2 linked regions of the Xenopus tropicalis genome follow. The protein of the gene in region 1 interacts with the protein of each later gene in a pairwise test. Links are inferred from orthologs where the notes say so. Each region holds a gene or a part of one and is shown on either strand. Other genes may lie near its edges.

The links.
Region 2: the proteins of bag4 (region 1) and alg13 interact in binary tests that used the Homo sapiens proteins (3 or more experiments, as listed by UniProt). The link is inferred for Xenopus tropicalis from reciprocal best matches to the Homo sapiens genes BAG4 and ALG13.

The regions. Positions count from the first base shown.
Region 1 is NC_030679.2:132,223,734-132,228,765, forward strand, and holds part of bag4 (BAG family molecular chaperone regulator 4), read left to right. Parts: intron 1-2,559; coding exon 2,560-2,649; intron 2,650-2,741; coding exon 2,742-2,999; intron 3,000-3,890; coding exon 3,891-4,121; intron 4,122-4,943; coding exon 4,944-5,032. UniProt on the Homo sapiens protein: Inhibits the chaperone activity of HSP70/HSC70 by promoting substrate release. Prevents constitutive TNFRSF1A signaling. Negative regulator of PRKN translocation to damaged mitochondria.
Region 2 is NC_030684.2:51,806,285-51,811,316, reverse strand, and holds part of alg13 (putative bifunctional UDP-N-acetylglucosamine transferase and deubiquitinase ALG13), read right to left. Parts: intron 4,907-5,032; coding exon 4,834-4,906; intron 4,473-4,833; coding exon 4,391-4,472; intron 3,014-4,390; coding exon 2,833-3,013; intron 2,599-2,832; coding exon 2,523-2,598; intron 1,816-2,522; coding exon 1,707-1,815; intron 657-1,706; coding exon 592-656; intron 1-591. UniProt on the Homo sapiens protein: Catalytic subunit of the UDP-N-acetylglucosamine transferase complex that operates in the biosynthetic pathway of dolichol-linked oligosaccharides, the glycan precursors employed in protein asparagine (N)-glycosylation.

The DNA.
Region 1 (5,032 bases):
TATGAGACGGTCTCCTAAACCCTAATGACTTGTTAATATATGGACAAACATCCATGTTTTGCTTAAAGGGCAGGGCATTTCTTGGTAGCCTAATGCACAGAATGTCTTAATGTCCTATATATATTGAAAATGGGTGAGAGTAGAGGACCTCTTGTTGCTGTGTATGTATATTTTGTGGTCACAGCCTCATTGCACCCCAATGGGTTACAAATTTAGCTCCATGTTGTAGCTCCCACCCTTCCCAGCTACAGTCAGTTGATCCCAGTGGGGCCAATAAAAAGGGCAACCATTTGGGAGTTTTAAAACTGAAAGCAACCAGAAAAAGCTTAGTCCCTGTGAAAAATGTATAATGAAGTAACAGAAATTAGATAAAAATGAATGTAGGACTGGCCAGGACGGGGATGACTTTGATTTAGTCAACCAGCTTGAAGTATATTGCAATATATGGTAAAACAATCCCTGGGGGGGGCATTGCTTGGTAGCTCAATGCACAGAATGTTTTAATGTCCTATTGATAGTGGTTGAGTGCAGAGGTCCTCTTGTCTTTGCCTGTAGGCCTTCGCTCATTGGAACATTCAAGAAAGAGGTGGCTGGATGACAATGTAGAACTGGAGGAGCCTGGTGTCGCCAAAAGACAACTGGCACACTCGGGTAGTTAACAGTGCCCTGTAAGGGTTACAGTGCCAAGACAGGGAGTTAAAAAAAAAAACATTGTTACGGTCAGTAATGAGTGTAGGCCTTTGCTCAGACACACTCAGTCTGACAGGTGATTTATCCACTGTTGTTTTCTGGCTTAGCAATATATATATTTAAATATATTTTTAGGGAAAAAGTGCCATGTTTTCTTACCTTCCCCAGTCGTCCTCGGGCAAACATAGACTTATCTACTCATGTAGAGGCTGTCGCTAATTAAACTGGCTTTCAGCAAGTAACACCACATAAAACTTTAAAAAGTCGCCATTGCTCGGTGTAATATACTGTTTAAAAGAGATATATACATAGGGAAATAAAATATAACAGGATAAAATGACCCTGGCATATTATTTAGGGTCAGTGGTTCTTGTGATTTGTAGCCTAGCATTATCTGGTCTGGATTCTTAAAGCAACAGTACTTGAAACAAATGGTGGCAGTGGCAAGCAGATCCTGGCCGCTCTTTGCCTGCTCATATAATGGCAGCTGGAGGCATGAAGCACATTCTTAAAGCTGGGATCACCTAATCGGCACTGAATCCACCCTTGTGATGTTTAATTACAGTGTAGTTAGCAAACAAAAGCCGTACAGTAATGTCCGTCAGTATGTGTTCATTAAGTGCATGACGTAAGGGAAGCTCCTGCTGTGGCACGTTCTTTTGCCTGTCATTTTATTTTTCTGACTCACTAGCAATTCCTCGCCCTAACTCAGCCCCTTACATAGTGACAAAGGCAGCATTTCCAGGTAGTATAAACGGAGACTTTATTCTAAAATCAGCTCGAGCTGATCCAGGCTCTTCTCTTAATTCTGCTAAGGTAAGGTACAGTACTTGTCACTGTCTGTATATGTAATCATTCATGCTGTAGCAGGGGGTTGATGCGCATTCCTTTTGCCCTTTTTTATATCAATCTGGGGCGTTAAGGCAATACACACATAGACCAATCTGGTGGTCACTTCAAGCCATGTTTGACCAAACTGGCAGATGGCAGGACTGCTAGTTAGGTGCCTTGACTCCATTTGTTGGCTAATGATGAGGGATAGATACTAATTTTAGAGTGATCTTCTGCTTGGGCAGACTACACAATATCTTAAGGTGTGCCCAGTTTAACATACACACCAGGTCTGGACTAGTAATCTGTAGATTCTGGCAGATGCCAAATAGGCTGCTGTAAGATGCCATAGTTAGTCACTATGTATTGGGCTGACGGGGGGCCTCTGTGAATTTGTAATGCCAGTTACGTCATTGTTGTGCAACTTAGGCAATGGCACACTGATGTTGCGACTGTCTTTGCCCCCTAGTGGAGAACAGCAGAGGTCAAAATGCCCCTGTCTGCCTGTCACTGCTCCTGATACTAGAAAGTGTAAAGAACCCCATTGAATGCACATGTAGCAGTGAGAGCCAGGGGCACTTTGTCTGCTGCTGTTTACTATGGGATGCCAGTGGTAGACCAAACACCATGTGGGATGTAGGGTACTTTATAATGTCTTTGGCCTTTTGCTTGTGGTGCGTTCAAGGTGCCCTCAAACTTAGCACACTGTGAATACAAGTAACAAGTGCAAGGACACACTTTGTTTCTGTACCCAGTCCATCAAGTAAAGATCAGATTCCTATTTGTTCCTTACGTTCATCCACCTAGGTCAGCCCTGATACTGCACAAATTACTAAATGTTTGTTTCTAGCATTTCCAACACTAAAGCATTTCAGGCGTTTGCCAGCCCTACTCAATTATAGTACAATAAGTAGATAGTTATGGGACATTTTTGGGGGAGAGCAGCACCTGTTTCTGTAATATATTTAGCCCACAGCTAATACAAACACATATATATCTCATACCACATGGCACTTTTCTGTTTTTCAAATCTTTCAGAACTCATCATATCCCGGCTACAATCCAAACTGGTCCTGTTCTGGCCATCCACGGCACCCATATCCCACTAACTACCCTGCTAGAGATCAGGTATGTGTATATAGACTTAAGACACTGACTCTTGGGTCTCATATTTAAAACCTCATTGCTGCATAGGTGACTTTTCTTCTACTACTTTCTAGGTACAGAGGATGGAACCCTACACAAATGGCTCCTATGCATCTCCTTATGCCCCAGGCTCTATGAATCCCCCTTATGCTTGTGTCCCCCAGCCAAATCAATACTACCCTCCTCCTTCACAACCCCCTTATTCAGTCGATCCCTACAAGCAGTCGGGGGGGAACCCTCAGGCACAGCCTCAGTGGGGTTACCCTCCTCAACATGGCTATCATGGTGTCTCCCAACATCCGCAGGGATACTCACCATATGCTCCTCATCAGGTGAGTAGATGGAATATATAATAAAAGGAATCCCCTTCCATTGTGCATTCAGTAAGGATCTACATTGGGAAGCAGTTGGTGGTTGAATGGGGCATCCCAGACATTGCTCATGACATCACAGGGATTCCCAGTGGCCATATGGTGGTTCAGAATCTACCATCTGGTAATATATCAGATACAGACGCTTTTACAATTCCCTGGTAAGGCAGGTAGCAAACACTCTGCATAATTTGGAAGTTGCTTCAAGGTGTATTTAGTTAAAATAATAGTAGGTGCCATACCTGTATCGGTTATCGGAGGCTTGATGAGGCTAGATTTCATTTTTTTATGCCTTTCTTTTGTTTAAGATGTTTCATATTCTTCCTGTGTGGTTGCTTAATAGCAGTCTATTATGTGGTAATTTATGTGGTAAACAGGATTGCTTCAGAACAAGGAAGTGAAAAAAAAAATATATATATAGTTCGAACAGGTAGGCACTCACGATAAAACATCTCTTATTGTCTGGGTGCAGTCCTCAAATTTCTAAATAGATACTCGAACCAAATGGGCCGCTCCACACAGGACTTATGAGAAAACAACGTAATTTATTAGAAGTATAACAAGACTGATGTTCTTTCTGCAGGAGCAGGCGAAACATCAGTCTTGTTATACTTCTTATAAATTATGTTGTTTTCTCATAAGTCCTGTGTGGAGCGGCCCATTTTGTTCGAATATATACCCATGTAGATATAGATATAATATAAAATAAAACAATGGCAAACTTTTATTGACTACTATTTGTTCATTTTAAAATGAACTTTACTTTCAAGAAACAACACATTTTACAATACTCAGACCTTTAGAAGGACCAGCCAATCAAACCAATAAACTAATGTAAAAATTTGTTTTTAGCAGGAGACAGTCTCTGCCTACCAGTACCGAGAAGCAGCCTCTGGCCTCCACCAACCAGCAATGCCTCAGCACAGTCCCCAAGGTGAAGGCTGGGTTTATGGAGTCCCCAACCCTTACCATTGGCCCACTGCTCCTCCTGCTCACCACAATCCGGCCAACAGCCATTATGTCCCTGGGGGCAGAGCAGGGTGGCCTGGAGCAGACATACCAAATGCTTCGTATGATATAAAGGTAGGTGGAGCTACATAAAATTGTAAACATGTAGAATCTGTGTTGCTGGCACTCTCGCTGGTAGTTATAGGGAAGTAGGCATTAGCCACAGCTTGGATCTATTGTGCTGCTGCTTTTCACAGACTCTAAGCTGCAAATGGCATTTAGGGGATATGTAGTTATATGAAGGTAAAGTCACTGGCACAGAAAACCACAGCAACTCATCGGCTGTTAAAATAATAAATACAAACACCTGACTGGTTTCCATGGTTACATAACTAGGGCAAACTTTGTGCTAGCATTACATAGCTCTTTTTGTAATCCCAGGTTTTACTCCAAAGTGAAGTATGCTTATGGCATAGCAGATGCATGGTTTTTCAGGGACATGCTCCTCCGTGTTTCTGCTGTGCCACAAACATGGACTTATTTATTCATTTCCAAGTTTGTGAATTCAAGGGTTTTTTTTTCTAATTTGAGTAAAGACTCGAACGCTTGCTTATTTATTAAGATCAAATAAAAAAAACTGGAATACCTTGAATTTTCAAGTTTACAAAAAACACAGACAACTCTGAAATCTCTTGACTTTGCCTAGGACAACTGTCATTGATTTCTTCAAGCTTTTGGCTGCCGAATTTTTAATTAAAATTTTTGCACTTAATAAATACCAAAAACTCAAGTTTTTGAACCATAACTTGAATTTTGGGAGTTTGCCCTGGCTTCCATATGATATTGTATGTGTTTGTTTATTGCTGGTAGTTGCTGAATTAACTATATAAATTAGCAGCAGTATATAACATTTCTTAAATGTACTGATTTGGTAACTATTATTATTTATTATTTCAGGATCCATCACAGGCATCTAATTACAACAGACAAAGACCTCCTTATCAGTCATACCACCCTGAGACACCCCAGACCGTCACACCTTCAGA
Region 2 (5,032 bases), on another chromosome or scaffold:
TATATTTTAACTTAACTAGGTGTGCCAGTTCTAGGTTCTTTTTGTGTCTATAACACTACAATGTACAATCATGTCTTAGGACACCAAGGTATGCTATGCATAAAGCATAAAGCAGAGAGATGAACAAGTAGTATCCATTCTCAGGACTTTCATACCAATCCATACAACTTTTTTTGTTATTCAAATAATGAAAAAAAGCAAATTACATTATGGTAATCATAACTAGGTTTGTTTTATGATTTGATTTTTGCTATCATGGTTATACACTTTTGTCTTTTCAAGGTTATTACTAACATATGTAACCACACAAACACATACAGCATAGTAATAAGGTGAGCTGCCAAAACAAATAAATAAATATAATTAGCCCAGGTATGAGGCATGTTATGGAATTCCTCTATCTTTCTCTCTTTTAGAAAGCACAGCATGAATCATCCAAAGACTCTATAAATATGGCTGTATTTAAAGATGTGAGTATATAGTTTAAGGATACTGTTTTTCTCTGTCATTTGTATAGATATAGACACGGGCTACCAACTGACTGACTTTCATATATAAATAAAAAATTATATATATAAAGAAAAATCTTACCTGACACTTATCACCTAAGCAATAGTGTCTTCCAGCAAACACCATGTAATCCGTTTTCTGAAGTTCTACAAAGGGAAATTGTACCACATTTAAGTTTCGGATATTCATATTTCTTAATTCAAGAACATTAAAGCAGGCATTTCAGAACAATGGCAGGGCATAAAGGACAAAGTGTTCAGCTATGTAAAATAATAGAACTGCAAAACAATCACACTATAAAACATTTAGCAGTTAAATGATTTTCTCCAAAAATAATAAGTCTCTAAGAGATCTGCGATTTACTAAAAATTGAATACAACAATTTTTGGCAAATTAACTTTGCACTGGCAAACATTCTCTTTGCATAGGTGAAAATTCACAAATTTTTGCAAGACAAAATTTCACCAGTGGACCAATTTACTAAGAGTACAAAGATGATTTTTTTCTAGAAAAAATTCTCCAGGATCAAGCTGACAAGCTGCCATTATAAAGCTAGAGCAGCCAACGTTTGCATTTCATTATCTACATTACCTTCTTCCATGCTATTTCCCCCTCATTTCTTCAAGGCAACAATTCTCTCCTATGGGGAATTTATAGCACATTTCTTTATGGCACATTTCTATTACAATTTTGAGTATGTAGGAGATATGTTGTGAAAATATAACTGGATAATTAAGGCAAACTTTGGTAAAGTTGGACAAGGAGAAAAATCACACTTTAGCAAACATGTCCCATAGTCCAGATTTGTGGTAAGCTATGAATTTAAAAAAACAAACAAAAAAAACTTGAAGAGCCTCAGAACATTCAACTTAATATAATTATGTTTTTGCAAAACCTATTAATATATCTATCTATACTTGCCAGTTCCATGGTCTGCTTAGCTCCACTATATCATTTACATTTTTTTTTACTTAAGAGTTATAAATAGAGATACATTTTATATAAATTAATCATTTCAAACTTTTAGAAACTACAGTTCTTGGCTAATGAAAGGACTGCACTGCAAGAACTGAACTTAATTATACCAGTGCTGTGAAAATACTGTGTGTGTCTTTACAACTTTAATAATGTCACAGACTAACATAAAGGGAGCCTTTGCAGCATGTATGTATGCATGCATTTATGAAAAAATGTACCTTTTCTGCTGTCTAACCAGACATCAAATTCTACATTTCTGTAGATTTCTGGGTCAAGGGCTTTCAAAACCTTATATGGGAAGGGCATCTTGTTAGGATTTTCTGTGGACTGTCAAAAAAAAAAAAAAAAAAATTTAGACGTGAGCATTTTACTATTTTAATAAATGTGAAACAAACGGTTTCAAAAATCAAACAGTATCTAAAATATTCACAATTTTCAGCTGAAAGACTTACTAGAAAGTCAATTTACAGTACATGGACAGTTGAGCATTATGCTATATTTCCAAGGACAAGTACAGCTGTATTTAGCTAAGCCTAGCTGTACATGCAAGGCCGAGTGCTTTTATAAAGGGGGATATTATTTATTATAATATACACAAATTTCAATGAGTTGTCCTACAGAAATTACATCACTAAGCACCAATTATGACATGTTAACCTTTAAGATACATTTATGTATTTTGAGGCCCTGTCTGACCTTACAGCACAAATTACTTATTACAGGACTGTTTCACCCCCAGCTAACCATATTTAGGGGATTTTGAGGCAGAATAGTTTGTCGCGCTAAAAGAATCAGGGTGTGATATAAATGTCATTGATTTCCAAAAGGCAAGGTTGTTGGGCATGCAAAGACCAGAAGATTCACATTAACATGCAGACTTAACGCATGAGCTGGCATATATATCTATTGCAAAAAAATGCTATTTTTTAAAATAATGTTTCAAGTTATTTTTCTAAGGAACTTCCGAATTCCAAAATAATCTCAACTTAGAACCAATACCTTTATATATATATAAAGAAAAAAAAAAAAATAACCTTTACGTCATCTGTGGTTTGTCTGGATTTGTCATCCAAGAAATTATCACCACCTTTAACTTCCCAATCTTTAACCCTGCAGAAAAAAAAAAAACAAATTAATATTACTTCCTAATTCAGCAAAACAACAAATTAACATCTTGGTGCCAGAAAAAACAAAGATGTACCTATGAAAAATGTATCAGCACTTCGGGCATTTTAGGCACTTCAAATGTGTCCCAACAAGATTGCTGGATGGTCTGTTGAAACCAATGCCCGACCTGCTATAGATGGTCAGGCAGTATGGCTAAAAGCTGAGATAGATATCTACCTGTTATCAGACGACTGTTTTGATGTTTGTTCTGGAGAGCAGTCAAAGTTGGCATCTTCACTACCAGTGGAAGCACTATTTCGATTCTTCTTTGTACCACTTCGGAAGAGATCAACGGCTGCAAGCAGCTCTCTTTCATCCACACCAAAAACATCTCTATATAGGCACTCATACAGAACGGCTATGTAGGCAAGCAATTTATTAAAACAGATTTTGCAACAATTGGGAAATAAGTTAATACAAATGTCAACTTAATTACAACCTAATGTCCTTCATCAGGAGTAATACCATGATTTTGGTATGTCGTGTATTTTAGGAAAGCGTTTTATTATCGTCTAAGAGATTCAGAGGAGCCTTTTTTATTATTAGTGGTTTATGACAAATCATCATTATTGGAGAAATTAACTTCTTACAACAGATCTACAAAATGGAAATTGTACTCAGTATTCTTTTTTGCATAATGAAAAATTTTATTCTAAACAACTTAAATAATGTACAGTAGTTTTGGAGATATTTGCAAATGTGATTGCTATTGAAAGCAGTTCTTATCTGTCCATTTGCATTCTCTGCGCTGCTAGTTCTGACTCTTTACACAATGCAGCAGAAGGAAATTGAAGTCTTGCATGGAAGAGAGCTGGTCTTTGTTACAATGTTCCGGGAGCGAAATCCAGCAGTAAAAAATGGACAAATAAATACTGATTTCAATTACAATTAACTCAAACCATTGGGAACGTTTTATTGTATACAGTAGCTTACAATAGCATTTTTCATTATTTGTTTAATTAAACACCTGCACTAGTAGGACCAGCCAGCTGACAAGGGCCAATTGTGAAAGAAAAGTATCAAGTCTAAATAGATGCCATAGCAACATAGTAGCAGATTTCCACACTGAGCAAAGAGGCAGCATAATGATTCTGGCTAATTCTGGTACAAAATGTTCCTGAAAAGCCAGACCATTTAAGAAAACTATAGCGGTTTAAGTTCTACACTAAGGGGCACATTCATAAAAACGTGAGTTCAAATCCCGAATGGGATAAATTCAGATTGGATATGAAAGTTTCTGAAGATCGCATATATCATGAAAATGCTTACAAAAAAATCGTATTAGTCATGATAATATCGTATTGGCGATCCAAAAGTCACGAAATTTTCGTACTGAACAATTGTAAGTGGGAAAACCTTTCCGAATTTTTTGCGCAAGTGTACGAAAAAGTCACTTGGGCTCACTTGGGCATTAAAAAATTTGGAGAAAATACGCTTGGAGCGTTCGAACGCTTTGAGCGTTCATGTCTTAGTAAATCTGCCCCTAAGTGAGGTGACAAGTGCCCCAGTGTTGCATACCTCATATATTATGCATTATATAATATACTGCCAAGCAAGAGGGGTTTTCTGCAAATTTAATCTATGACTTCTACTTGGCTTTTAGTACCATCTAGTGGAATCTTGTATTTACAGGTTGCCAAAGACAGCTGCACTGACAATCACAGCTTCCGAGTATAGAAAGAAAGAAATAGAGAGACAAAACAAAAAAGTGAGGAAAGTGAGTTTATATACTTACCTTGACATATAGCAGCATTAGCTTGGAATGCTTTGGTAAATACAGAGTCATAATGCCCATTGCTTGAGCAACATAACATTATCTAAACAGAACAGAAAAAAACTGCATTCATGAGTACCCAATTAGAAAAAAAGTATTTATCAGAGACTAATGGAAACTTAAAAGGCAATGCATATTCTGGCAAAAAGATGCACAGGCATAATAATCAGTAAAGGTGTAAGTGACTTCAGCCTCCAGCCTCTATAAAAACGTTTGATTTAGCCCTTATTTTTGGAGAGCTGCAGCCACTAGATTTAAAATGGGGGTAAACCTTAAATCAAGTATTTTAGAGAGGGTGCAGAAGACTTAATATACACAAGACCACTTCAACCACTTAATAAATATTGGGGTACTGTACCTTTAAATAAGTCCATATAATAATTCATCAAATTGTTCATTCTCACCTTTCCCTCCCAGTTGTTATCTGTTGCATATGTAGGTTGTTTTCCAGGGCTTTTATATAAAATGAAATCTTGACTAGTAAAGAAAAAGGCAGAAACAAACTACTTTAAAAAGGGCAATGGATATTAAGCACAAACTTATGAAAACAGTACTGGTTGGTTAGGAGTAGGCATAGGCCATTCAACTTATTTACATGTTCAC